2 linked regions of the Struthio camelus genome follow. Each later gene encodes a partner of the first gene's protein in a complex. Links are inferred from orthologs where the notes say so. Each region holds a gene or a part of one and is shown in the gene's direction. Other genes may lie near its edges.

Region 1 (14,203 bases):
CTGTAGACTGTATAAGGAGAGAGACCCCATAGGGGTGTAGACCCCATAGACCCCATAGGGATGTAGACCCTGTAGGCCCTGTAGATCCTATAGCTATAGGGACATGGGACTCATAGGGACAGAGACCCCATGGATCCTATAGGGATACGGACGCCTCAGGGAGAGACTCTGTCAGACCCCACAGAGACAGAGGCCCCATAGGGACGCAGACCCTGTAGACCCCACAGGGATGTGGACCCCATAAGGAGACACCCCATAGACCCCATAGGGACATAGCCTGCATAGGGGTATAGACCTCATAGACCCTATAGGAACATAGACCCCATAGGGATGAAGACGCCCCATAGACTTCGTAGGGATATAGACCTTGTAGGCCCCATAGGGACGTGGGCCTTGTAGATCCTATAGGGACATGGCACTTATAGGGACACAGACCCCATAGACCCTACGGGGACGTGGACGCCACAGGGAGAGACCCTGTAGACTCCATAGGGACAGAGAACCTGTAGACCCCAGAGGAACATGGACCCCACAGGGGTGTAGACGACCCCATAGACCCCATAGGGCTACAGACCCTATAGACCCTATGGGGACATGGAGCCCATAGCAATGAAAACCTCATAGATAGACCCTATAGGGACAGAGACCCTGTAGGCCCCACAGGGATGTGGGCCCTGCAGACCCTCCAGGAATATGGGCCCCATAGGGACAGGGACCCCGTAGGGATATAGACCCCATAGACCCTATAGGATCATGGACTGCCCAGGCACCCTGTAGCCCCTATAGGGCCATGGGCCCTATAGACCCTGCAGTGCCGCCCTAGGAAGTGCCCCAAATCTGCAGTGTCCCCTCCCACTTCGTACCAACCACCCCAGATCCCTAACGACACCCGCAAATCGTTAGTAACAACCCCGAATCCCTAGTGACATTCCTTCAGCCGCAGCAACCCCAAATCCTTAATGATAACCCCAAATTTGTAACAACCCCAAGTCCACGGCACCCTCAGATCCCTAAGGACACCCCAACCCCTCAGAACAACCCCCTAACAACACCCCCAGATCTGTAACAGCTCCACTCCCTACAACCCCACATCTCTAAGAACACCCCCAAATCTGTATCGACCCCACATCCCTACGATAACCCCAAATCCTTAATAACGCCCCCAAACCTGTACCCACCCCGACCCCTCCGACAACCCCAAGCCCCCACTAACCCCCCCAAATCCACGCACACACCCCCAAACCCTCCAACAACCTGCGGTCACCCAGATCCCCAACAACGCCCCCCCCCCCCCAAAAAAAACCCCTCGCCTCAGCCCCAAAACGCAGCGGGGCGAGCAGGAAACCCGGCCTCCTCGCTCCCTTGAGACCTGCCGCGCTCGGTGCACGGATGAGAAGCAGGACTGGGTGGGGGGGGACAGACAACCCCCCCCCCATTCCTGGCCGGGGGGGGCCGCCCGCACGCGCGTGTGCGCCGAGGCCGCTCTCCCGCCGAGCTCGCAATTAAAGCGGCCGGGAGCAGAGGGCTCGTTTCATCCCGCCTTTGATTAATGAGGTTTTGGGGGAGGGGGGACGTTAATGAAGGGAGAGTTTGGGCCGGGGCGAGGGACTCCTCCGCGCGTCCCCCTGCTCCCGGCATCCCGCCAGGGACGGGGACATCAGCTGCTTCCCGCGCTCTCCCTCCGCCAGGTTCCCGCGCTCCCCCCTGCACCGTTATCCCCCCAAAATCCACTCCCACGCCAACCGATACCCTCAAAACGCCCCCCAAAACTCTGCCACCCGGCACCCGCATCATGCCGTTTTTCGGCTCCGGCTCGGCTAAACAAACGGGAGCGAGCCGGCTCCTCCGGCGGGATTAGCGCGGGCGGCCGCCGCGCTCCCGTGCCCGCCGCAACCGCAGCTGGCCGCGAGAGCGGGCCGGGAGCAATCAGCAGCGTAATTATACGATTCTAATTACAGGGATTACCCAGATTGCGGCGTTACAAATTTCATGAGCCGCTGCTGTCGGAATATATTAAAGGCCTCTTCCTGGGCAGGGGGGGAGCCCGAAAACGGCTCCGGGTAGGCAAAAAAAAAAAAAAGGGGGGGTCTGCACGCCCCGGGGGGCAGCGAGGGAGCTGGGCGCCCTCTGCGGCGCTGGGCGCCCCTGGCGGCTATTTGCCTGCTGGAGAGACCCCTGTTAGGGAGCTAATCAGAAGCCAATTAGAGGGGCTCCTGCTAATCCCAGGCATGCGGCGCGGCCGAGGCATGCAGATGAGGTTAACGGTTAATTAGGTATTGAAAAATTCATTATTTACCCAGAGCGGCTGATTGGGATGCAGCCCCGCGTCTCCATTAGGGGCTATTTGGCCGCTCGCGAGTGAAACGCGGTGATTTGATGCCGGTGGGGCCAAACGCTCCTAGGCGGCCGCACAGGCGCTTGCGTCCCTGTGTGCCATCCCGACCCTTCTACGCCCCGAAACGGGAAGACAGAGCGGAGGAAAAATACGTTTGCCTTGGCGGAAAATGGCTTTTCCGACTAAAACACCCCGCACCCCGAAGCCCTGGCACGGCGGCGGCAAAGTCGACCCGATTCGTGCTCGTCGACGGCCACCGTCTCACCCCCCTGCGTGGGAGGCAGGCGACCTCCGCTTAAATCCTCTGATTATCATTTCCTAATCTTTTTTCCTGGGATTTCATTTTAAAACTCTGCTAAAAAGGGGGGGGGAGGGGGAACCGACCAAAAAACCCCCAAACCCCTGATTACTTTTGCAGAGCCCTTCAAGATGCCACGGGGCAGAGGAGGAATCGCTGATGAGATGCACGCTGCCTGCGGCTGAATTAATATTCGCCTCGCATCGGATCAAACCGTACCGGCGCCTCGTGCCTGCGAGAATCGCTCTTTTCTTTCCCCGGTACAAATCGGAGGAGATTAATTTAATTAAGGGGCCGAGACGGGTAGGAGCGATAGGGGCGGAAATGCCGGTGCAGAAGGAGCGGTGGAGGCGCGCTTCGGCTCGTCTAGTGACCTGCTGGAGCGACTGGCGGCGCTTTATTTTTTCACGAAGGCTAAAGCTGCCGGTTCGTCTATTAAAAACGACTTTGCAGCTGGGAAATATTTGACCTCCCAGTGCGGCGTTTCAAAGGGAATGGCAAGCAAAGGGAGGAAAAACTTGGTTTCCTGGGCCGTCAGCTGTGAATCCCAGGCGACGGAGATGCAAGGAAGGTGCCTTGGCTGCTGAGCCGCCTCAGGCTGGGTTAGTCTTCCCGAGCCTGCAGGCGTTCACCGGTGCACCGAAAGGCAGCCGTTCTCAGCTGGCGGGGGGGGGCTCAAGACAGCAGGTGGGGAAATAAATGTAACACTATCTCAGCCCCCGGCGTGGTGAGATGCTCTGCAGGGCCTCAGGAGAAGGCCAGCGGGGCTGAGGATGCTCCCGGCAGGCGCCCAGGCCGATGGCGGTGGCCCGCTGCCTCGCTTCAGATTAAATAAAGCTAACGAACAATTAGCAAAACGAAACAAAAAGAAAAAGAAAAGCCAAGCGCGCAAGTAATCAGCTATCCCCCGACTAGCATTGACCCCGATTTCACCACCCGTTGCAAGGGTGCGTGCTGCCGAAAAGCACTAAGGGACTTTAGCGCGGGCGATGGCAATTAAACCGCCCGCGCCTGCCAAGCGCGGGAACCAAGCGGCTTTCTCTCCTGCGGGCCCCGGCGGGCTGATGAAAGCAGCTGAAAGCCGCTTGATGCCTGCGGTGGCCATGCAATATTTAGGAAGGCTGGCCGGGGCAGCTCCACGTGGAGGGGGGCGAGCTCGGGTGGCCGCGCACGCGTGCACGCACGAACTCCTCCAGCTGGCCCGGCCGCGGACGGGTTCGCTGGGCGCGCGGCCGCCGGCACGCCTCCGCCTTTGTCTGCCTTTCAGAGGCAATCTCGCGGCCCCAGATGGGTTAATACATAATGCAGACAAGCAAGTAATTGGGCGCCTTTGTACGGCCGTCAGCCGCCGGTCCCCGGCCCTCTGATCCCCCATTAGCGGCCGCGCAAACAAGCCTTCCACCCAATTAAGCACAGCTTTGATAGCGCCTTTCCCAATGATGCGGCGGCCCCAAACCAGCCAGTCGCACATGAGCCACTACCTGTTAAACCCGGCACCGGGCTTCCTCCGGGGCCGAGCGGCTCTCGCCTCGTGCCGTGACCCAGCTGCCGAGCTCCGCCGGCCCTGGAGGGAGGCCCGGCTGATAAATGAGCTGGGCAAAGTCTCTATTAAAGAGGGGGAAATGGGATGTTAATATACCCCGAGTGGCTCATCTCGAGAACACATGGGCTTCCCGAAGGTAGTGGTAATGAGCCAGGCTGGGATGCCCCGCTGGGAGACCTCAGCCCTGCCACCTTCCAGGCTGCGCCAGACTGAGACGTCCCAAAATCGGTCCTCTAAAAACCCCAGCATCCCTCTTCTAGAAAATCTCAGCATCCCTCTTTTAGAAAATCTCAGCATCCCTCTTCTGAAACACCCCGGCATCTCTCCTCTAGAAAATCTCAGCATCCCTCTTCTGAAACACCCCAGCATCTCTCCTCTAGAAAATCTCAGCATCCCTGTTCTGAAACATCCCGGCATCTCTCCTCTAGAAAATCTCAGCATCCCTCTTCTGAAACATCCCGGCATCTCTCCTCTAGAAAATCTCAGCATCCCTCTTCTGAAACAACCCGACATCCCTCTTCTGAAACCTCCGGCATCCCACTTATAGAAAATCTCAGCATCCCTCTTCTAAAAAAAATCTCAGCATCTTCCAGCCTGCAAGGTCATCGCAAGAAACAGGTCATCGCCCAGACCCCATGTACCCATACAGCCACCTCCTGTCCTCCTCCTCCTCTTGCTGAAACTGGGGCCGTTTTCCTCCGAAACGGGGCCAGTGCGATTTGCCCTGCGCGGCTGGGCCCAGCCTGGAGTGTATAAATATTCAAAGCGCCGAATTTTGCGCCAGCTGAGCCGATGGAGTCGATGGCGAGTGGCTCGGGGGGCTCCCCGGGGATATGCTAATAGCTGAGCCGAGGGGGATTTACATCCCCGGCATCGGCACGGCGAGGCTCGGGGCTTCCCAGCCGCTCGTTTGCCCATACAAATGCCTTGTCGCTTGTCGTTACTTTGCTCCCATCCCGGCTGGGTCCCCGCCAGCCCCTTCGTTGCTCTGTGCCTCGATTTCTCCACCTGCGTCTGTGGAAGGAGCCGGCTGCCCTCCGGGGTGGGGGGGAGGAATTCCCCCTCTTCTGGGGAATTTTGAGCCGAGAGTGATGCGAGGGGAGGAACAAGATCTGGCTTGGCACAGCACACCGTCGCCATCTCCCTGTTTTTGTACCCACCAGCTGGGCAGAGTTAAGGGGATGTCGGAGTGGCATGGTCCATCCTGGCCCTGCCTGGCTCTGTGCAGGAATCCCCTGGCGCTGAGCTCCCCCATCACCCAAAAAACTCCAGTCAAGTGGGAACGAGGGTGGCGAGCCCCTCTTCAGCATAACCAGATTAAAAAACTCGGGGGGATTAAGGGGGATTAGCCCGGCCTGTGCCGACACGCTGGTGATTTTGGGCTGTGCCGAGCAGCGGCCGGGAGCCGCTCGCCTCCTCGGCGGAAACCCTGAGCAAACAACAGCTAATCGCCAAATAAAAGGACAATTAGCCGCGACGCCAGCGATAATAAATCTCCTAACGAAGAGGCGAGGCGATCACCCAGCCCTCGGCCCAGCTCTCTGTTTGCGGAGCCGATTAACGGGACAAATTGGGGTGAGGGGGAATATTAACGGCTCCTTTGTCTCCTTTTCCCAGCTCCGCTCGCCCAGCCAGAGCCTGGAGGATGCTTTGGGGCTGGGACCCGGGAGCCCATCACCCAGCCTCAGGCCTCGGGCAAGCGGGACAGTGCGGGATGGACACGGAGGATGTCACTGGCTGCAGTAGATGGGCCTGGGGCGGTGTGAAAACACCTCCCCTCTCTTCCAAGCACTCCCTTTAAAGGGTGCCGGGCACCGAGCCGGAGGGGGGGGATGTGGCATGGCACCAGGTTTGCAATAAGCCCACTTCAGAGCTCCTTAAATCGCCCTGTGGTGAAAGAGGGGACTGGAGTTGATCAAGGCAGTTTTCGGCCTTGAGGTCCCCAAAAAGAGCTCCGGGGAGCCCCAGCGCTCGGCCTCGCACAAATCACAGCTTTTCGCTATGCCAAGTGGCCTGCAAAAGCCAGCGCCCCGGCAGCATTCCCCCGTAATTCAGCAGCCATCTCCCAGCCCCTCCGGAAAAGGCTCTGTCGCCTCCGCTAGGGTCGAGGCAGGATGCCTGGATCCTTCAGCCCAAGGGAGCGCTGTGTTCCGCGGCGGCGTAGGGAAACGCCGTGGCGTTTGATAGTCCAGCACGATGCCGATGTTGCTTTCAAAATTATCATCCTGAATAATTGTTTCGATATTTATTTGATAACCTGGGTTTTTGCAGGTAATTTATTTCTGCCTTCTCCTACCAGGAGTCCCCGGGAAGCTGAAACCTCAGCAGGAGAAACAGAAAAGCTTTGTGCTGCTCTTAAATTAATATTTATTTGCTATCTTCCCTTAGCCAGGAAGAAGAGGGAGCATGAATAATACATGGGGCAGGAGATGCCCAGATACGGAGCTAGGCGCTCACCGCGGCACCCAGAGCCAGGAGATTCGGCGGGAGGCAGAGGGATGTGAGTGAAGCTCCGAGGAGGTTGAGGCACGGAGAGCAGGGCTGAGAGCGCTGACCCCTCCAGATGTGCGCGACTGCGGAGCGGCCCTTGCCTCCAGATGTGTGCACCCCCAGAACGCCACGTGCAGCCAGATGTGTTGGCGTGCAGAGGCTCCCCTGACCCTGAATGTGCATGCAGAGCATGACCTGCATCCAGATGTGCGCGTGCCAGGTGTCCGTGTCTCCAGATGTGCCACAATAGCCAAGCCTGTGCATGCAGAGCATCACCTACACCCAGATGTGCAGGCCTACGTTGCCCCCTGCACTCCCAGGTGTGTGTGTGGCGGGGGGGGGGTTTCTCTGCTCCAGATGTTCCAGCAGCTCCGCAAGGCCTTGTCTCCAGATGTGCACACAGCTGCGAGCCCCCCTTATGCACCTCTCAAAGCCGGCGGTGCCAGCAGGCGCGTGCCCGCGTGCCGCCCCAGATGTGCACCCGGCCCCGGAGCCCTGCTCACCGCCATCCAGGCGTCCGACGGCTCTTTCAGCCCATCCAGATGTGCAGGTCGTTAGCGCTGGTTTAATGAGCAGCCCGGCAGTGGAGGGCACCTGGCCACGGCTCTAATTAGTGGCGTGCCGCCTGCGAAAGGCGCATTGCTTCACACAGTAGCCCAGTGTGTTAATAAAACGGCTAATTGGCAGCGAGAAACTCAGGGGGCTTTTCCTAACGCGATGCTGGGAGGCGGTGGTCCCTGCAGGATAAAACCCTGCACCCCCACCAAAAACCCCCTAATTTTCCATCTTTCCCTCCAGTGGCTCTTTTGCCCCCACTCTCCTGTCCTGGCCTCGGTGTTAATCCACGGATGGAGGCACGCGGGGCCGCCGTCAGTGAAGCGCACTGATTGCGGCCAGCCTTTAACGAGGGAGGAGAGGGGCACCAGCGGGGGATTCGGGGGCGGCAATGCCGGGGCATTGAGTATGCCCCAAACCAGCCTCTTTTCTTCCCGTAGCAGGGAACGTGGTGGGCCTGGGGGGGGAGACACAGGAACGGCCGCTGAGCGCCGCCGCCACCAGTGCTGGCAGGACTGCTGGAGTGGAGCAGGAGCGCAATCATCTCCTGAGCGCCCCGGCACGCATTGGGGGTGCAAGGTGCAGAAATGGCTTTGGAGGGTGCCCCCTTCCCGGAGCCACCCATCCCTGTGCCCCCCCAAGGGGGATGCCCAGGCCCCCCAACCCCATTCTTGGACCACTACAGGGGTTACTCCCAGCCCCCCTGGCCCTGTCCCCCCCCTCCAGTTACTCCTAGCCCCTTCCCCTGTACCCCCTAAGGGTGTTCCCCACCTCTCTCCCCCCCTAGTTACCCCCAGTCCCCCCCCGTGCCCCCTAAGGCTGTCCCCCAGGTTCCCCCCAGCCCCTCACCCCTGTTCCCCCTAAGATTGCCCCCCGCAGGGGTGCCCCCTCCCCTCCCCTCCGCCCTCTGCCCCCGCCGCTCCCCCCCCCCCCCCCCCCCCCCCCGCTCCGCGCTGGCCGCGCCCCCGCTCGCCGCCGGCCCCGGAGGCGGCGCCGCGGGCCGAGCCGAGCTGAGCCGGGCCGAGCCGAGCCGAGCCGAGCCGAGCCGAGCCGAGCCGAGCCGAGCCGAGCCGGGCAGCGCAGCGCAGCGCGGCGGCGCCGGGCAGCGGGCGGCGCGGAGCCACCATGCTGCGCTACCTGCTCAAGACGCTGCTGCAGATGAACCTCTTCGCCGACTCGCTGGCGGCCGAGATGTCCAACTCCTCCGAGCTGCTGCTCGGCCTCAACGCCAGCCTGGCCGCCCTCGACCTGCGCAACCTCACCGCGCCGCTCGACGGTACGCGCCCGCCGCCCCCCGAGCCTGCCGGCAGCCCCCAGCCGGCTCCGGCCCGGGGTCCCCCCCGGCCGGCTCCGGCCCCATCTTCCCGAGCCGGGTCCAGCCCCAACTTCCCGAGCCGGGAGGGTTTAGCCGCACGTCGGGGCCAGCCCCAACTTCCCGAGCCGGGTCCAGTCCCATCTTCCCGAGCCAGGAGGGTTTAGCCCCACGTCTGGTCCAGCCTCAACTTCCCGAGCCGGGAGGGTTTAGCCCCACGTCGGGGCCAGCCCCAACTTCCCGAGCCGGGTGTAACCCCAACTTCCCGAGTCGGGTCCAACCCCAACTTCCCAAGCCGGATCCAACCCCAACTTCCCGAGCCGGGTCCAACCCCAACTTCCCAAGCCGGGTCCAACCCCAACTTCCCGAGCCGGGTCCAACCCCAACTTCCCAAGCCGGGTCCAACCCCAACTTCCCGAGCCGGGTCCAACCCCAACTTCCCGAGCCGGGTCCAACCCCAACTTCCCGAGCCGGGGGGGTTTAGCCTCACGTCGGATCCAGCTTCATCTTCCCGAGCCGGGTCCAGCCCCAACTTCCCGGTCCTGCCTTCCCGAGCTGGGACGGTTTTAGCCCCACGTCGGATCCAGCCTCATCTTCCCGAGCCGGGTCCAGCCCCGCGTTTCCGAGCCGGGGGTGTAGCCCCATGTCGGGTTCAGCCCTAACTTCCCCAGCCGGGGGGGTTAGCCCCGAGCCGGGCCAGTCCCATGTTTCCCACCCGTGTCCGTAGCACGGAGCCGCGGACAGCCTCGTCTTCCCGAGCTGGCCGGCAGTGCCGAGCCGGCGGGCAGCTCCGAGCCGGGTCCAGCTCCGTCTTCCCGAGCTGGATCCAGCCCCAACTTCTCCAGTCCGGGGGGTTTTAGCCCCACGCCGGGGCCAGCCCCATCTTCTCGAGGCGAGTCCAGCCCCCGGATTCCGATCTGGGGGAGTTTAGCCCCACGTCGGGGCTAAACTCGGGTTCAGCCCTAACTTCCCGAGCTGGATCCAGCCCCAACTTCCCCAGCCGGGGGGGTTAGCCCCGAGCCGGGCCAGTCCCGTGTTTCCCACCCGTGAGGTAGCACGGAGCCGGATCCAGCCCCAACTTCCCGAGCTTGCTGGCAGCCCTGAACCGCGTCCCTCCCCGTGTTTCCGAGCCGGGGGGCAGCCTGGCGCTTTCAGGGTGCGAGGGGGCCACCCCTGCTCCCCACCGGAGGAGGGAGGGTGCTGCCACGGCACGGGGAGGGCGGTGAGCCTGGCAACGGGGTGATGCCCTAACTCCCTCCCCTCCCCACACCCCACTTTCGGGGGAAAAGCCGGGGAGCCCCCTGCTAGCTGCGAAGTGAGGGGGACCGTCCAACTCGGAGGCTGCATTTTGAGCACTTCTGGAGCTCATCGTGCCTCCTTTAGTCTCTTCCCGAACTTGAATTTTACCCTAAATTCAGGTGCTCAATCACGGGGGAGGAGGGAGGATCGCAGCCCCCAAACCCTCCCCCCTTGCCCAGCCACCAGCAGCCCCCATCCACTCCGGCTGGCCAGGTGCTGGCGCAGGAGCTGGGCACCCGAGGGGGCACCCGCTTGTCCCAATTAGCCGCTGGGTTCAGCTGTGGCCCCGGCCGTGCCCAGCTGCGGTGGGGGAACGCGAGGCCAGCAGTGCCTCGGACCCGCCGCTGTCCCGCTCCGAGCGTCCCCAAGCCGCGGGGGGAATCGCCGCCCGGGTACCACGCAGCATCCCGAGGATGCTGCCTCCATGGCAACCGCATCCCTCCCGCAGCGGAGAGATGCTCCTGGCAGTCTCCATCCCCACAGACCCTAAATCGCAGTGGCCGGCCACAGCTTTGGGGTCGTTCATCCAGGCGAGGTGGCCGTGGGGAGAAGCAGGGGGGCCGAAGCCCAGTGGGGAAGAGGATGGGGATGAAGACGGGGATGGGGTGCACGGCCTGCCACATCTCCTGCTGGCATGAACTTTCCCGTGCTGTGTGCCGAGCGCTTTCTTAATGAGCTGCCGGGCGCCCTGCGGTGCCAGGGCTGGCAGGGGGTGAGGGGGGTTTCCCCGTCCCTGCGGCCACCCACTGTCCCCGCGGCCACCTGTGGCCTGACGTGGGAAAGCTTATTTGGGGTTGGGCCATCCTGCGGCGCCAAATCGGGGCTGGGGGGGTGATGGCTGTGATCCATCGACTCCGGGAGCTGGGTTTGGGGGGGGACACTAGGGGGTTGGGGACAGCAGTGCTGGGCAGGTGGCAGTGGCTCCCTGGGTGCTGGCGGGTGCTGGGGGTCCGGCACCGGGAAAGGGACCGTCCCGTGCGTCGCGGGTGCGTGCATGCCTGTGCCTGGGTACACGCGTGTCCCCAGAGGTGGGACATGTGCGTGTGTGCGCGGGCACGCGTGTGCCTGTGCGTGTGCCCGGCAGCCGGTCCCTGGCACGACAGTGACGCTCAGCGCCCGCAGGCCGAACTGCAGGACCGGCGCGGGGACACGCGCCGTGGGTGGCGCTGGGGACGGGATGGGCGGTGACACAGGTGGCACTGGGGAATGTGATGGGCCATGCGGTGGGTGGCGCTGGGGAGCTGGGGACATGAGGGAGCGTGCCGTGGGTGGCACTTGGGATATGCCACGCTATGCTGTGGTGGCACTGGGGACACAACGGACCATGCCATGGGTGTACTGGGGACAGGATGGACCATGCCGTGGTGGCTCTGGGGACATGATGGACCATGTCGTGGTGACACTGCTGACAGGATGGACCATGCCATGAGTGGCAGTGGGGACACGATGGACCATGCTATGGGTGGCACTGGGGACATGATGGACCATGTCATGGTGGCTGTGGGGACATGATAGACCATGTCTTGGTGGCCCTGGCAGCACGATGACTTATTTGCTGTCTCCTGACTGCAAAACCTTAATGTCTGCTGCGGGGCAGGAACGGTGCTCTGACAACGGGTTATTTTCAGAGAAAACGATCCAGAGCAATGCTGCTAAAAATGGGTGGGAAGAGCCACAGAAGGGAATTGGTGTAAAAAAACCCTAAACCTCCCCCCAAAAAACCCCAAAGGGCCGTTTCGACCTGCTCTCGGCTCCAGGGCTCCCAGCTGCAGGGCGCCTTGCAGCCGGCCAACGTTACCGACGGGTTGCCAAAGCGAGGCGCTGCTCGCCTGGAGGGCGATATCTGCAGGGGCAAAAAGTTAACGTCTGGCTTGGAAACCTCCCGAATCCCCGAAAACGCAGCTCCCCGGGGCTGTAAAACTTGGGACGTGGCTTTTCTTTAACCTCCAGTTTAATTGCCTGGCGTGGGAGGGTGGAGCGCCAGTTTGGGGATGGGGTGCTGAGACCGGGCCGTGTTGTGATGCTGGTGATGGGTGTGTGTTTGCAGGGTGCCGTTCAGCCAAAACCCTGGGGTGGCAGACAGGGTGTTGTCCCCCCCCAAAAAGGGCCCCGGCCCCCCCCTTCCTTCTCCTCCCCACCCCAGGGTCCCCCTCTTCCCTCTCCCCCCCACGTAAGGACCCTGGGGGGCTGCAGCGCAGCGTGGGGGGCCCTGGCCCTGACCCCAGCAGCGAGGCCGCCCGCAGTGCCCCACCGGGCTGAGGCCCGGCCACACTTCATCTTACCTCCTGGCGTCCACCCCGCCGAGGCGCCCCCCCGCCCCTTCCCAACCCCGTGCTGCAGACCACCGCCGGGTGCCACCTCCCGCACCCCCAGCACCCACCCTGCCGCCTCGCCCCCCCCACGCCAGGCTCCCAGCCGGCGCCGGAGGACGCGGCGCCCCGCATCGTGGAGCACCCGGCCGACCTCATCGTCCCCAAGGGCGAGGCGGCCACGCTCAGCTGCAAGGCGGAGGGCCGCCCCACGCCCGCCGTCGAGTGGTACAAGGACGGCGAGCGGGTGGAGACGGACCGCGAAGACCCCCGCTCGCACCGCACCCTCCTGCCCGGCGGCTCCCTCTTCTTCCTCCGCGTCGTGCACGGCCGCAGGAGCAAGCCCGACGAGGGCGTCTACGCCTGCGTGGCCAGGAACTACCTGGGCGAAGCCACCAGCAGGAACGCCTCCCTCGAAGTGGCCGGTTAGTCCCCCCTCCCCGTTGGGCAGGCCTGAGGCCACGGTGATGGGCCTGCCGCTCCGGGAGCTGCGACAGGTACCGATTCGGTTCAGCGGGGCTTTCGCCCGCCGGGACGGCAACTTCCCCTCCCGGGCTTGGCCGGTGGGGGCTGATCCTGCCCGGTGCCCTTTTGCCCCTACCACCTCCCCGGGGAGCCCGAGGGGCCCAGGCGTCCTGGCTTCCTGGGTGCTGCTCCCTCGTCCCCCCGCCGCGGCTCTCGGGGGCGCCGAGTCAGTCCTGCTCAGTCCTGGGTCTCTTAAGGACGAGGGTCGGGGTCAGATGCGGGGCTGATTCAGGATTTTAGTATCAAATTGGGAATTCGGAGTGCCTTGGAAACCTCAAATGGCCTTTTTATAGCCCAATCCTGCCCCGGAGAGGCCGTGCCAGTGGGGAGCAGACGGAAAATCTCCTTGCCAAGGGTTTACGGGACCCACGTTGGGTTAAAGTGTCCGGATTTGACATGTTTCCCCCCTGCAGCATCCCCGCCGTGGTTTTTCAGGGCTTTGCAAGGGAGCCAGCTTGCTTAACGCCCCTCGGTTACGCGTGCCATTGCTTAAGGCGGCATCGTCAGGGCTTATTGCGCCTTACGGGGCGATAATCTCCCTGCTTGCGCTCGGCTCCGAGAGGAGGGGGGTTCCCGGGGAAATCGCAGCCCCCTGCCTTCCCTGCCCGGCAGTGCTGCGGGACGATTTCCGCCAGGCGCCTGGCGACGTGGTGGTGGCGGCGGGCGAGCCGGCCGTCCTGGAGTGCGTCCCTCCCCGCGGCCACCCCGAGCCCAGCGTCTCCTGGAAGAAAAACGGCGCCCGGCTCAGCGACAGGGACGAGCGCATCACGGTGAGGCACCGGGGTGGGGGGGGGGTTCGTGCCCCCCGCCGCCACCCCTCCCCATTACCCTCCCTCTCCTCCCTCCTGGCAGATCCGAGGCGGGAAGCTGATGATGGCCAGCACGCGCAAAAGCGACGCCGGCGCCTACGTCTGCGTGGCCACCAACATGGTGGGGGAGCGGGACAGCGAGCCGGCCGAGCTGGTGGTCCTCGGTGCGTGGGGAAGGGGCTGGCAGCGGGGCGGGGGGGGAACGCCGGCGCAGGCGGGTCCCTTGGCGGGGCTCACGGAGGCCTCCCCGCAGAGCGCCCCGTCTTCAGCAAGCGGCCGCTCAGCCGGGCCGTGCTGGCCGAGGCGACGGTGGAGTTCGCCTGCGAGGTGCTGGGCGACCCGCCGCCTGCCGCCCGCTGGCGCAAGGACGATGGTGAGCTGCCGCCGGGAAGGTAAGGAGAGGGGGCTGGGTCGGGGGGGACGCCGGCATGGAGGTTGCTGCATGGCGGTGTCCACGCTGCAGCTGGCATCCTTGTCACATGCCGGCATCTGTGCTGCATCCGGCATCTGTGCTGCATCCAGCATCCGTGCTGCATCCGGCATCCATGCTGCAGCTGACATCCGTGCTGCATCCATCATCCGTGCTGCAGCTGGCATCTGTGCTGCATCCAGCATCCACATTGCATCCAGCATCCTTGCCGAATGGCAGTGTCTGTGCTGCATGCAGCATCTGTGCTGTATCCAATGTCTGTGCTGCAGCCAGCATCCGTGCTGCCAGCCAGCACCCT
Region 2 (15,014 bases), on another chromosome or scaffold:
TTTAAAGGGATGAGCAAAACTTAACCAATTTTGCACAAGTTTCCTTGTAACAGGTAGCCGTGATGGGACTAGGATTTTGTTAGCAGTGAAACCAAAAGGAAGGTCAGCCCTTTAACGGGATGCAAGCGAGGCAAGAGGGGGGTCTCCAGGCCAGGCTGGGGTCTTCTGCAGCTCTGGCGTGGATCCAGAGCGAGGCCATCCGTGTCAGCAGAGTTGCTCTGTCTACACTGATGATGGCAGGACGTGGCTCACGGTGTCTGCCCGCTGCTTTTATAAGCAAGGATCATACGGACTTTGAGGACTCGTTACCTAAGCAAGGGGAGAGCCTGTAAGGCTTACACTAGTATGTGGAATCAAACAGAAACACAATGATCCCATTTGATCGTTTTGAGTAGAAAAATACAAGCAAACTTTAAAATAATCACTTGAGATTGGAACTAAACTGTCCCTGAGCCTGGAAAACGGTTTTGAAATAGTGCCAAACTGAATGGGCATCACAGTTTTAAGTACTTTCATATGTTTCTATTAATAATTTGATATTTGCCTTTTCAATCAAAAATGCCTCCTTTATACCAAGTGTCGAAAACCTTGCTCCATTGGCAAACTGCTTATACAGTAAGTGCAAGCACAGTTTTATCCACTTAACTCCAAAACTCTGAACATAGTTTTCCTTGTTTCTCTGCTTTTGTTTGCAGTATCTCCTCAAGAAGCCATCATATAATTTGTGCCTAATTTTGTATTCTTACAGTGGTAAGTGTAGTCTAGTTACCACCTGACAACAGTTATTAGAAGTTAGATGTGCTGTTCAACTTTGTGACTCCCCAGTCATTCTCCTGTAAACATCTTTATATAACCTTTAGATGTATTCTTCTCTTTCAACCAATGGGGAAATAGCAGAACCCCAGTTGTCTATATATTATATATATAGCACGTAAATTCTTCTACAAAGCAGTGTTCTCTCTGGAATGTACGTAGTTTATCTTTTCTTTTTCTTTCTTTCTTTTTTTTTTTTTGCATTTAAAGTGTTTTCATTAAAGAAAAAACTAAAAAAACCAACAACTAACCACTATAATCATCCACATGGATGCAACATTAGATGCACAAAATGTAATGGTGGTGGAAGAGGACAATTTAGTAGATGGCCATTGCATTGCAATAGGACTTTCTAAATCATTACCATTTAGAAAACAGATATATATGGCGATATGAGTGTTAGACTTAAATAGTTATATTACCTAGTAAAGCTCTAGTAAAAATAGAGCTTTTAAGAATCAATTTATTTAACTGAATAGCAAATTAGCCCAATTTATTGTAAATGCACTAGAATGAGGGAGAAAAATATATCTTCAATAATTGGCAAAAACGCAACCTTTACTATCTTGTTATAGCCTATACACACACACATATATGATATTTTTCAACAGTGATCAGTGTTCACGTAGTGTGTGCTAGTGATGTTGTATGTCCCTATAAGTATCTTATCAATCCGTGTAGAGATGGTGAGCTTACAGTAGTTTAGCCTGTTTTTTCCCTCCCCGCCCACACTATAGTAGTAGCCGATAAATGTTCTTTCCTTTCAGGGAGCTGTTTCTATCCCGTTCTTTTTTGTCTGTCCGTCTGTCTGTACATTACAGGGTCTCAGGTAACTCTTCAGTTAACGTGTGTCCGTAGATCAGTAGACATAGTGTTTTCATCCTGTCGAAGAAAACAAAACAAAAAACCTAAACCTTAATGCAACTCTTCCACAATTTATTAACTTCCTTTCTGTGTGCGTGTGTGTGCGCGTATATATATATGTATATTAAATATATTAATCATTTTGCTGAACTTCCTCTTCCACGGGGGAACTTAGTGTTGCCAGTCAGAGGCACTGCTGGAGACGTTTAATCCTCAGGCGAGGACAGATTTTGCAAGGCTTGTGCCCCAGGGGCCCCGCCAGCGCCCGCCTGGCGCAGCAGCACCGCTCGGACCTCTGCAAGCATCGCTGCCTTAAAGCTGCGCCGGCTTCTTTTGGCTTTGCCAGCCCTTTTCACAAGGGGAGCTGCTATTCTCCCCTCTCCTGGGTTGTTGTTTTCCTGGCAGAGCAGGTTGGAGGCGCCACACTCTGCTTGATGCGATGAAGCTGTATAAAGACAAGGTGGCCATTGACGCCCGTGTGGCAGTGAGGCTGAGCAGACTGTGCTGCGCAGGAAAATGAATTGCAGGAGTTCTTTCCACCTGGAAAGGTGAAGAAAGGAACCTAAACCAGCTAGCACCATCTAGTGGGAATTGCATATTTTTGTCAGGATGAATAGCTTTAGGTGTCTACCGTTATCATCTAAAGTCTTGGTTTGATTTTTGGAGTCCAATCCTGTTTTGCTGGGATTAAAAAAAACAAAACAAAAAAAAAAACAAAAAACCAAGCCCCAAAGTGTTTATAGGCTTTGTTCTTAAAACAAACAAACAAACAAACACACACTCAAATCACTTAATAGTTCTGAATCCTTTCCCTTCCCAATTTGTTATCTCAGGATGTGTTTGAACCAGGATTAACTAACTGCGGTAAAATTGCCTTGGTGTAAGCATGTCAATTACTGTCTATTTAAGTGCAGAAGGGGTGTCATTTGGAGGAATACTGCTGGGTTAGCACATCTTTCCTTTGGCTTGGATTACTAAAACAGAATGCATGTGAAAAATTGAATTGCTTTCCATGATTTAGGTAATTAATCTGCCTGCATTTCATTTAGGTGTTGTTCCTGTGCCTGTGGAAGTCATTAGCACAGGATTAGGCCTGACTCTGAGACTCTGAAAACAGGTGATAGGTTTTGATTTTGTTTTAGTTGATTTTATCTTCAGCTTTAACGTCTAAACCTGGGCTTGCAAAGACATTTGGAGTGGGGAAGAAATGAGTACAAAAATCACAGAAGAATTGAAGTTTTTCACCGTAAATTAAAAGTGGAAAATTTTCACACCAGGCTTTTAAAAAGTATTTTACTCGTCAAATCTGAACGTTGAGATTAAATTAACCAGCAGTGTCCTCTTTAAATGAGAAGTAATCTTGCAGTTTGGGAATGTACTTCATTTATCATATTCTAGAAAAGTTTGCATGTACTTTGATAGTTTTCTAAAAATAAATTTAGTATCTAAGTAAATACCAGTAAAGGTCTTTTAAAAAGGAGGGGAAAAAGCCATATTAGTAAAAATGTGATGTACGTACTTGCAGATCTATCTTGTGAGTAAAAAATGTTCAAATTTGGTGAGAACTACTTCTGTTGCATATTTTTTCTTTGAAATGAAATTGGATTTTTGAATGAGTTGAGATGCACTATTGTATGCATTAAAAATTATACTTAATGCAAATGCTTGCCATCTTCAAATTCTTTGGGGTCTTCCTAGCATTTTTAATATATAGTGTTCAAAATCTGTTTTTCAGCTAACCATGGCAGCACTTTGTTTCCAAAAGAAGGGTTTAACAAAATGATCCTTAACTGAGAAAGACTTGGGTTGTCTTTACATGATATTTTGGTTTAGTCAAAGCATTCTTTTGACTAGGTTCTGCTCCAGTGACCACATTAGACGTGCCTCAGCACTGAAGATTGCTTCCAATACACTGTCGCTATCTCTTACCATCAAAATCCAAATCTCAATTTATTGAGATCATCTTTGGTCATCTTTTTGAGTATGTGTGTAGTTGTACGGATAATATAATTCCTTGCTGTCTGTGATAAAGTAATTGCTTATTTGTGGCAGATGTTGCTTTTCTGTTGGTTTCTTATTCTGCAACTCCACTTCTTGCAATCAAAGTTGCAGACAGACTTGTATGGCTTGGGGGTTGCAGGCTGCGCAGCTACGGCAAGTGCTGTCCCAGGAACTGTCTCAGTTTTGCTAATGATGCTGTCATGTCTGGCATGATTATGAGACACTTACTTCTTGGTTTGAAGTTAAATGGTGTGCATGTAAGGTGTTTGTGAAATAATCAGAGCTTGATCTTCCAGAGGGGCTCAGGTTGCTGACTGGAAAGGGGAGGGTTAGGGGTATTTGTGATTTCTGCCTTTGTCACCCTCAGGCAGGCTGTCACCAAAGAGAAACGGTTTTCCCGGTGGGTTTAGCTTAAAATGTGAGAACCAGGCTGGACCTTATTGCTTGCAATATTATTATTTGCCCATAACGTTTTAAGGACATCTTCAGGTAACCATTTGCCTTATAGGGACCTTCCATTGTTGGGAAAATACAGATTGATGGAAAAAAATGTTGTTATCTGTCATTTATATTATGTAGGGTACCTTGTAAGGTAGATGCTTAGCTGGTATAAATTGTCGCAGCTTTGTTTGGAGCTGTGACAATTTACACCAGCTGAGAATTTACACCCTGTGTCCTGTGGCACTTTATTACAGACCTATCGCTGATGGGTTAAATCTTAATTACTTGCGTAATGTCATATATAAATATATATATATATATATTTACAGGCATTCTATGGGGTACTGCTGCCTATGGATAAAGATTTGTACCCTAACAAGGTCATTATAATTTTTTCATTAGCTGTATGTGCAGAAGATATATTATGTTACAAAGGATGCATCATACATATCTCATGTAGTGCATATTATAATGCTGAATGTTGTTCATTTAAGAAGTCATTATTCTTGAGGCCCTACCTCAGATTTTGTATTTATGTGTAAAAATGCAATTTATTGTATTATATATTTGCCTATTATATTTGAATGTGATAAATTAAAATTATTCAATAATGTATGGGCTCTAAAGACTCTAAATAAATGTCCAGTGCTTAAAACATAAAATATGTTGACAGTGTGTGGTGAACAGAACTTCTCTTTTTCGACTCTCTCCTTCCCCACCCAATATACACCACAAACATCATTCTTACTTAACACACAGCCTTAAGGTATCTGCAGAATTGATCCATTTGATTGTTAGAAACCTTGAGCAGCAACTGGAAACAGCCCTCTTGGGAAATGGAGATATTGCACAGCTGCAGCAACAAATATCAATTAAATGGTTGGATTCTTAACTATCAGGATGCTCTGTAGCTTGCTGAATAATAGATTACTCATCAGAGGACCAGCTGAATTTGCTTGAATCCTTTTAATCCCATCAATTCAGTCACTCCAAAGGTGGTTGAACTGTTAAAGGCAAGAGAGGTTCATATCAGAGGGAGATGAAAATGAAAGGTGGAAGGGAAGGTGCAAGCTAAGAATGCAAATGGAAGCACTACTGCAGCTTTCAGTGAAAGCTGAGTTTTTGCAGTGTGGTGAGCGCAAGGCCGAGCAGCACGTGTGCCGTCCTAAGCACGTGGTGAGCAGGCTCCCCGCTTACCAGCACCTGAGTAGCAAAGCGACACTGATCCAGCCTGCTTCGCAGCTGGAAAGGCAGTGCTTTCCTCAAACACAATAGCTGAAGTGCCATATCTGATCACAAAGTGGTGTCAAGCAGATAGGCGAACAAAACAGATATTAGCACTCTGGCAAGAGCGTGAGAGCAGTTCCAGGCAAGGGCCTCATCTCGGAGGTGGCCGAAGAGTGATTCGGCAGGATTTGCCAGCAGTTCCCAAAGGAAGCGGTACGTTGGTCCGGCTGTAAAGCGCGTTGCTCTGAGAGGAGCTACGCATGCGCACGTGCAGGAGACAGCAGGACCTAATGATGGGGGACTGCGATACTTCTTGCGCACGTAAGACACGTTTCATCCTGGAGAAGCCTGCAGTTCTCAGCAAGCGCTCTCCCTGTCCCGAGAGGCAGGTGAGTATCTCCGGCCCCTTTGCAGGAGGCAAAGCTGAGGCATGTTAAATTTGTCCCTTCTCCAAAGTCAGCCAATGTGAGTCAGTGATACAACACATTGATTTGGGGAGTAAGAGAGAGGCGGCTGCTGTCACCATTAGGCACTATTGCTTTAAATCTTTAAACCCATGAGAACAGGTAAAAATCCATCCCATTTAAACTTGCTTGTATGGTATCATCCAGGCCGTGCTTTCAACCAGTGTACGCTACATAAATGACTAAAAGATAGGCACATATTTTATTGCAATGCTAACAGATGCATTTAGTTTGAAATAATTTTACTCTTTTGGGTGTTAAAATTGCCATGGTCAAAGTGAAGACCCCAGGGCACATTTTGTACCAACCTTGTGGATTAATCAGTTGTAAAGTTTGATTTAGGCTTCACAGTCTTCAAACAGCAGCTAACTATGCAGTTAGGAATTAGGAAAAGCAATAGATACTGCTCCATCACTGAATATTCGAGTTGAGAAATGCTCTCCCTGTGTTAAGGCCTCATTCAGAGCCGTTTGCTGGCTACTTCCTTAGCACGGATGCTTTCAGCCTGTTGGACTGAGCCGACAGTCCCTTACAACTATTCATCAGTTGGTAGGAGACAGGTTTTTTTCTTGCCTTCAGGGCTGCGCTATTAGTACTTAGGTGTAAACGCTTCTGTTAATTATTGCCCTCTACTGGCTGCAAAGTAAAATTTGCCCGTAAGTATTTCTTGCCTGTAAGTATCCCTTTGAGAGTGGCTTTCACAGGATGCGAGCCTTACTACTTGTGAAAGAAAAAATTTTCCGTTCTAAGAGTTACAAGGTGTTTTCCAGGTGGAAGTGCTGTCGTCTCTCCAGCATTTGTGGTTCAGCTGGTAGCTGAGTCCATTCCTACCTTCAGCTACACTTAAAAGTTAACACTTAGCGCTTTTGATTGCCTTTCATCCAAGGAATGTGAACAGCCTTACAACAACTCTGAGTGATACTGGGGCCTAATCAAAAATATTTCATCAGACTTCAAAATGCCACAAGCTTCGTGGCTGAAAGGACTAACAGTTTAACACCACACAGTTGGCAACATCACAATGATTTAGGTCAAAAATCAGGAAGCACGCAACACCCGACTGAGAGTGCAAGAAATCTTTCACAAGCATATTATCTGAGCTGAAATCCAGCTAGTTTGCCGGGACTAACACTTTAGTCTTGAGAAAGTGCCACCAGATATTTTTTTAATTGCTATGAACATTCAGGAGCACAGTTCTCATTCTTATCTGAATGTCATGCCTTCCAGCTATTTATATTTCCAACACGATCGTATCAGAATATCGGATTTTCTTTGCACTGACAAAGGAAGATAAGTGGTTGCCATACATTATTAGTGGAAGTGTGGGAATGGTGTTGGCTGGGAGAATGTCTTTTTTTTTTTGTCCATCCCGTCTATCTTTTTTCCAGTATGAAAAGATGAAAATACTTCTATAATTATTGGTTCTGTCCCCAGAATATCCCCTCTGCACAGAGCTGGACTATAGGAGCCCCCTCTTTGGGACCAGCTCCGTTCAGAGATCTTCCTGCCCAGCTGCCTCTAATACTGCCTGCAGTGTCCCTGGGCTCCTCGAAGGTTTCTGCTCAACACGAGAACAAGTCAGGCACGATGAGCGCGTTGGCTAGCCACGACACTGGTCAGAGTGTGTTCGAAGCTGCGTTGGAGAGCTGATAATCCAGTGCAAGTTTTTGCATGTGCCCACAGTAATTTTTTAAAATATCTTTTTATACAGATTTAGGTTAAGCTAATTATGGATCTAGGTAAGAATCTGTGGGTGATAGGTTTACATTGTGACTCCATTAAAGACTCCACACCAGTTTAACTTAAAATCTGAAACTTTGATTGAATTAGATTTAATTTTGAGTTTACATAGACTCTGGTTTTATTACTAGGTAAGCACAAATATAGCTAAACTAACATGAATAGGATGTATAGCCACATTTCACAGAAAGAAATCTCTCCCTAAATTAGAGAGTAAATACCAGTCAGACTAATGATTTTATTAGGATGGGATTAAAAGGTATGTCCTCACTTGCTGAGGTACCATTACCTCCTTTTGTTGTTACTATGTGTACATAGCATATATACCTATACATGTATATGTATAAAAATATGTAGACTTGTATACCATGTATATATACCCCCCCATGCCCTATGGGTAAGAACGGTGCCAATAGCCCAGCACCCTAAATAAAAGTAAGAATGTATTTATGAGTTCCTGAGATGTTTTGGAGTAACTTCCCCCCTCCTGAGTTTTCCCAGCATGTATCCCTTGTGTGCAGCCAGGACCAGCTGTTTTCAGAGATCTTACTAAATAAGTAATTAGGCAACCAACTTATACGCTTTGCTCATGCTATTGTTGCTAAAGTAAAGGTGTGCGAACGCAAACTCTCCTTAGATTAGCGTGTTTTCCTGGTTTCATCCTAACTTTGTCCAAACGTAAAGTTTATTATTTTGAATTTAAGATGACCTGAATTTTGCACAGAACCAGACCATGGGATGACGAGGGGAAGAGGCAGGAGGAGAATCCTCTAGCTTTGCCGGGGAAATGGCTTGGTCTGAGCCAAGCAAAGCCAGGTCAGCTGCATCTCACCTGCCCCTCTTTACTGAAAGCAGCGTTTCATGTGGGCCCCAGCTGTCCTATTTCAAATTTAAGTCAGGTTTTCTACTGGTGGGAATTGCATATAATCAGTGTGTGGGGTGGTTTCTCGTCATGGATTAGTCCAAATTAAAGGCTGGCGGTAGCAAATATTTGAAGAGAGAATTTAAAGCACCTGTGAAAGATTCTCAAGTGGTTTACAAGTACAGACTTCACCCCTATTTGATGCTTGGGAGATGTGAAGGAAGGAGCAGCTAAGTGACTTGAGCAAGGACGCAGAAGCAGCCGGTGGAAGGGTACAGGTTTCCCTGTTACGTGACCAAACCCGATTTTCGCTTGTACCAGGCCTGAATTATTACTGAGGCTAAAATAGTTACCAAAGGCAGAGCCTCGCTGGTTTTATGCCAAGAGCGAGGCCAAAGCGGGCGCTGTTCAAACGCGGCTCCGCGGCCCGTGGCGGCGCGGGACGCGCTCCCCCGCTGCGCTCCCCACGCGCCCCCCCCGCCCCCGCGCGGGTCCCCGCGGCCGGGTGCGCCCGGCGCTGCGGCAGCGCGGCGGCTCCGCTGCGGGCGGGCAGCGGCCGGGCGGCGGCGCTGGCGAGGCCCGGGGGGGCCGCGCGTCGCGGCGGGGGCGGCCCGGCGGCGGTGGCGGCGGCGGGGGGCGGGCGGGGAGCCCCCGCCGCGGGGGCGTCGGGGCCGCGCCTGGGCAGCGGGCGGAGCCGCCGCCGCCGCCTGCCGGAGCCGCTCCGCGAGTCGGAGGCGCGGCGCGGCTCGGCTCGGCTCGGCAGCCGGCAGGCGCAGCCCGGCCGCGCCGATGGGGCTCCTCCTGCTCCTCTGGGCGTGTGCGGCCGGCGCAGGTGAGGGTCCGCCGCCGGGACGGGGCGGGCGGGACGCGGAGCGGATGCTGGCGGGGCCGAAACTTTCCCGGTGCTGGGGCTGAGGCCGGGGCGGCGGCGCTGCCCTGCCCTGCCGGGAGCCACCGCGGCCCCTGCGCGGCTGCTGGGGCGGCGGCGGCGCAGCGGGCGCGGGCTCTGCGCGGGCGCAGGGCCGCCGTGCAAAGTTTCCCGCAAGCGGCGGGCGGCGCGGGGCTGGGCGCGGCGGGGCGCGCTGCCGCTGCGGGGAGCCGCGGCGCGGGCGGCAGCCGGGCGGAAATGCGCGGTGGCCGCTGGCGCTGCGCGGCCGAGGAGCCGCTGCGCTTCCCCGGCGGCGGCGGCAGCAGCAGCAGCGGCTTTGTTCTCCCTGGCCGGCCTGGGGCAGCGCTCCCTCGGCGGTGCCCGTGCGCCTTCCCAGGGGCGTCGCGATTACCGCAGATACGTAGGTGTCACTGTTCTTAAATTATAACTGTTCGTGCGGTAATTACTACCTCATCGAAAATCACATAGGTTTGGCACAGCGATAGCTGGGGGGGGGAATGCCGTCTGTCCTGATCACAGCGGTGCTACCACCAGTAGTGCACGTTCTCACGTGAAATGGTCACTGAGACGAACCCAAACTCCTGCGTTTGGCATTGCAAAGCCCCTCGGAAAGTTCTTTGTGTGCAACAATTGCCACTGAGGAGCCAGCGAAGAGCCTGTCGCAGAGCCAGCTTCTCCCCCTTGGAGGGATTGCACATGGCCGTGGGGAAATGACTAGGTTGTCTCGAGCGTGCTTTTACTGAAAGTTTCTCTATCCCAAAACATGCAGTGTGTAACATGTCAAGGAAATCATAGATACACCGCATACGTTGCATGGCTGCACAATTTGCTAGATGGAGCATGGCACGACTGCTGGTGCTTGGGTGCCTGCCGGTGATAACAGCACAAGCGGAGGATGCAAGCTATCAGAGCCATAAGGCAGCGTTAATTTCTTTTAGGGATTTCCTGGTGACATCATTCATAATTATATGGTTTAATCCTCTAACCTACTACAGCGCCTTCAGTTCACATTGGGCCGAATCCACAAAGTGCTGAGATGATTTTTTCCCCCCTCCCCTCCCCTCCCCTCCCCCCCCAACCTGGCTGAGACTGTTGGAGTCTTGCTTGTGTAAGTCACTGATTTAAGGGGAATGACCTGCTTGCTTTAAATAGGAGTTAAAAGCTGTATTGGTCAGGATCGGGCCCCAGCTTTGTACAGTTCTCCACTAAGAGCATACAGGTTGATGATGGTTAATTTTTGCTTCAGAAAGAAATGGTATTTCCAGCTTCTTCCAGTGAAGAGAGGCAGCACAGCATGCTAGATGCGAGTGCAGTTGATATGCCTCTGGTATCTTTCTGACTGCGGGAGACCACACGGGAAAGGAGACTTGGTTATCATACTGAAGCTGCTGATTTGTTGTTTATTAATTATTAACCAGGCTTTTGAGTGCCTGCGTGCAGTTTGAAGAGCCAGCACAAGAAGATGACTAGGAATTTAAAGCAGTGTAGGTTCTTGCTAAAGAGTTGCTGTGATGCTAGAAATAGTCTCCTCTTTGGAAAGCATCCTAAAGGCTGGAAGGGGGCACACTGAAGCTGGCGGAGCTACAGTGATCTGTACTTGTTGAGCCTCAGGTATTCAGGCTATAATAAACAGTTTTAATAGGGCAGTGAGGCTGTGGTGATTTAAGGGGGTGCGTGTATTTGTTAGATGTGGGTTCAGTCCTGACCCTGTTCAGTCACTGGCAGCACTTCCACTGACTTCAGTGGGGTCAAGATTTGTCTTACTGGATATAGTTTATCCTTCCCATTGAACAAGCTTTAGGACCTATTCAACCTCCCTTCGTGTCAGTAGGTTTTTGCTTAGAATAAGGGACGCATACTTCAATCCTGGCAGAGGCAGTGGGGTCTTTCTTTCTTTCCTGGCAGGTAATTTCACACAATTTACAGTGTGCTTCTCTTCTGAACAAAAACCTTAAAAGAAATAAGTCCTTCTGTTTGTCTCCTAAAAATATCTTTGCTCTCATGTTCTTAGCCTGAAAGGCTCTGTCCTGTATGTATTTTATAAATATATATATGTATATACATGTGTCTGTATATACACACACACACTCTCTCTCTCTCTCTCTCTATATATATATATGCACGCGTATATATATAAAGTGTGTGTGTGTGTGTCTGAGGGTTGTAGGATGCTGCCCTTGCCCTAGAAGAGTTGTTGTGGGTTAAAAATAAGCAGATGCGTTCTCTCTTGTTGGTCAGAGGCAGGTGTACTAGAAGAAAGTAGTCACTGTTTGATGTCGGGTGTAGCAGGATGGGTACATTTCTTCAGGAGCATCTCAGCTGTGTGTGAGGGGTTTGAGGCTAGCAGAGCTGCTGGCTGTGTGTTGGGGGCCCATGTTTCACCGGGAGGTGAGGGGGCTCTTGGTCTGTCAGCACGCACGTTGTGCAGCTGCACGTGCTCATTCAGCGTCTGAGCGTTTAGCAGGGATGAAGCTGGAGACAGTACTGATGCCTGTTGTTGTTGAGTGTCTGGGAAGTTTTTACCTTTGGAGATGTTTATCCAGGTTCATATTGTCTCCTTTTAATTTTCTACAAAAAGGTACTTATCCCCATGTTATTATGTGTACGTGCTCACTTTGATATGACAGCACTCTTGGAGGCTCAGCTCTGCCAGATGCAGAGAGATCTTAATTTTCATTGTAGATTAAGGTTGAAAGAGACCTTCTAAAGCTGCTTTTCGGTATTTCTTAATGCTCTGCATCTTGTGCAATAATATCCTGCTTCATTAGCACAACATATCATCCTAAGGAATTTTAATACCTGAGTAAAGAAAAGGAAAGTGCTGGGGCACAGGTGACTTATAAGTAGAACTTGTAACTTCGCCTTGTTCGTTCTGTACACCTCAGTAGTTTCTCAGAGCTTTTCAGAGACTCAGACTAGAATATTTGCTGCCTAACTGATCCAGAAGCACAGTTCTGAAATAACAAATCAATCAATTTAAACCTGAATATTGAGTCCACTCAGTGGAAATCAGTCTGGATGTGCTTTGCAGGGGAGATCCTTGCCCCCCACACAAGTCAGTGGAAGTTTTACCATTGACTTCAGCTGTCTCAGGATTTTTCGCTCTTAGTGCCTGTTCCCACTTCTAATGATGTTAGTGGAAAAAATTGTGAGGAAAGTGCTTGCATTCTGTGAGAGTTTTTTGATCCACGTCCCAGGCACAGATTTCATGTAACATCTGTTGCTATGTAGAGCGACAGACCCTTGTCAGACTGGCCTTTTCCTGTCCCTAGGAAACTAGCAATTTGTGAGTGCCTGGTCTTTTCCTGGGCGTGAGCCGTTTTCAAATTTCAGGTTTAGATTTGTGCTTCTGCACCTTAGACCAGGAGGTGCTACTTTAGGTGAATGAATGTCTGTTATGCATAGGTAGGTGGTGGCACACTTCAGGCCCTGGCTGTGCTGAAATACAGCAGAGGCACTTTGTCTGCAATATCAAACTGTTGTGTGAAATCACCCTGGGGCCCTTGGATTACAGGATGGCCTCCTTCGCCCTGCTACCATATCTCCTTCAGGGTCATTTTGTCCAGTTCGGAAAATAAATTGTGTTTAGGTTATGAGCTGTGGGACCCGATCTATTAGTCACAGCTAGGTATGAAATGTGAGAAGAATTTCCAGGCCTCACGTCTCCTTGGAAATCGTGTAGCCAATAGATGAATGTTGCTAATCTCTTTCATCTTTTCACATAGGTGGTTATGCTTTTATTTATTTATAACTCTTCTGCTGTATAAAGGTGCTGGATTAATGTAACAATTTTATAATGTTTTAACTTGTGTGCAGTAAAATCTGTGGAAAATAAATAGTTTGATTGAAATAACTGGGGAAAAAAAATCTCTCCTGCAGCAGAGTTACTGTCTTCTAACTAATTACTGTAGAGTGTGTGTGTGTGTGCACATACTAGAAATGACTGCACTAGCTATTCTTCTCCATTCTTTTCATTACCTGGTTTGAAATAAAAATTGATCTAACTCTGCCTTTCTCTGGCTCTGCCTCTCGCAGCTGTAGGATTTGGAATGGATCCTGACTTACAGATTGATATCATCACAGAACTGGATCTTGTGAATACAACCCTTGGGGTGACACAAGTGTCGGGACTGCACAATGCCAGCAAAGCATTTTTATTCCAAGGTAAAACAAGCCTCCTCAAGTCTCTTATCCCACTTCAGTCTGCATGAGTTCATGGGAGCTTTGATGCCTAACTGATTCCCTGTAATGGTGCTCTTACCTAACTGCTATTTTCTCTTTTTTTTTTTTTCTTTTTTTTTTTTTTTTGAAATAGTCTGTGTTACTCTGCTGAAATATATATGATATTTTGTTTTAATATACTGTCAGGTCATTGAGCTTCAAGATCTCTTGGGAAGTGTTTTTGGGTAGGTTTCAACACTCTCCAAAATTTTTTCTAACTAAATGTGTCAAAGTAGTCCCTGGGCATGGACTCGGTTGTATCCTTGGGTACTTTCTCTCTGCCCTTGTACTCATGCACAGGCAGCTGGAGGTTATGGAGGTAGATGAGAAAGCAGCTAATGTGTTGACACTGCTTAGTAACAAGTAGCAAGTCTTTCCTCAACTTTGAGAGAGCTGCTGAAGTGAGAAAATAGGATAGTATTGCCTTTCACTGTCCAAGCCAATAACAGATGCAGAGCAAGTCACATTGCACAGAGCAAGTCAAGTTGTAATGTGCTTTTTAAAATTTCAATATCCAAGGATAATGCTGGTGAAGTGTTTTAAAATGGAAGTTTTTTGTTACGTTTTGTTTTGAAGTGAGCAGTGAGTGAAGTTCTGGACAAATTGGGATGTTTTTGCATTGACTTAAATGAGGCCCAGATTGAGAGAGAGCCATGAGGTAGAAGAGCTGAGTATAGTATGTTTCTTAAGATTAACATGCTCATTAAAGCATAGTAGGGAACGTTTTTGTTGTGGAGGCTTCCTATGTTTTTTTCCCTTTATTGTGCTTTTACTGCACATTAAAGTGAGTAGGTTAGGGTCTTATTTTTTGGTATCTGTCCGCTTCTCTTGGAGGCAGAAGATTATGATCTCATTTAGTTTTATTTCAGTATCTGCATTACTGACATTATTGTAAGTAATAAAAGAAGCAGGTCTGTAATCTTAGTTTATTCTTTACCTGGACAAGAGGATGGATCAGTTCAGGTGCTGGTAGCAGAGGGGCTTCTGGAGACCACCTCAGAATTTGTTAGTCATCCTTCCCATGTCTTACGCTATGTTGAGTCAAATATTTAATTTTTACTGATTCCTAGATCAAGGTCTGGAATAAAGGCATTAAATTAGTCATTTAAAAATATAAATCGTTTTGCATCTGATACCCCTGACTTCAGGTTTGTGTGTTAGGTGTGAACACTATTAAAGTACAATAATCCCACTAAAGATTACAATGGCCTAACTTAAAATATTTTAGTATTTCGAATTGCCACTCTGTGCAATTCGAATTGCAATTACCTAATTGCAACCATGCTGGCAAACAGTCATGGTGAGGTTTCACAAACTGGTGGTTGGAGCTGAAGGGCAAGTCTGAAGTGTCTTTTTTAGGATGCTGGTTGAAACCACTGATACTAGAAGTAGCTTTGAAAGGATGAAGGTGAAGATGTTAAGGATATTCAGTTCTTTTTGCCTTGGAAGACCCCACCGGTAGCTTATAAACTTAGAGAAGACTAGCAGGAAA

What was found.
Region 2: the proteins of ROBO3 (region 1) and NELL1 are in contact, whole or in part, in a crystal structure (PDB 6POL), measured with the Homo sapiens proteins. The link is inferred for Struthio camelus from reciprocal best matches to the Homo sapiens genes ROBO3 and NELL1. Residues at the interface, in NP_071765.2 of Homo sapiens: Ser553, Pro555, Val590, Glu592, Phe594, Pro596, Asn600, Thr601, Trp602, Thr604, Ile624, Leu626, Arg630, Gly633, Ala634, Trp635, Gly636, Leu637, Ser638, Glu639, Pro646, Val647, Arg648; in NP_006148.2 of Homo sapiens: Ala440, Lys441, Met442, His443, Tyr444, His446, Tyr458, Arg468, Val469, Asp470, Asp471, Phe472, Ser473, Asp478, Ile492, Cys493, Thr494, Asn495, Thr503, Cys504, Lys505, Pro506.

Annotation. Positions count from the first base shown.
Region 1 is NC_090963.1:8,803,062-8,817,264, forward strand, and holds the start of ROBO3 (roundabout homolog 3), read left to right. Parts: upstream 1-8,286; 5' UTR 8,287-8,346; coding exon 8,347-8,497; intron 8,498-12,239; coding exon 12,240-12,566; intron 12,567-13,278; coding exon 13,279-13,436; intron 13,437-13,518; coding exon 13,519-13,639; intron 13,640-13,728; coding exon 13,729-13,867; intron 13,868-14,203. UniProt on the Homo sapiens protein: Receptor involved in axon guidance during development. Acts as a multifunctional regulator of pathfinding that simultaneously mediates NELL2 repulsion, inhibits SLIT repulsion, and facilitates Netrin-1/NTN1 attraction.
Region 2 is NC_090946.1:31,297,358-31,312,371, reverse strand, and holds the start of NELL1 (protein kinase C-binding protein NELL1), read left to right. Parts: upstream 1-9,093; 5' UTR 9,094-9,201; coding exon 9,202-9,244; intron 9,245-13,336; coding exon 13,337-13,465; intron 13,466-15,014. UniProt on the Homo sapiens protein: Plays a role in the control of cell growth and differentiation. Promotes osteoblast cell differentiation and terminal mineralization.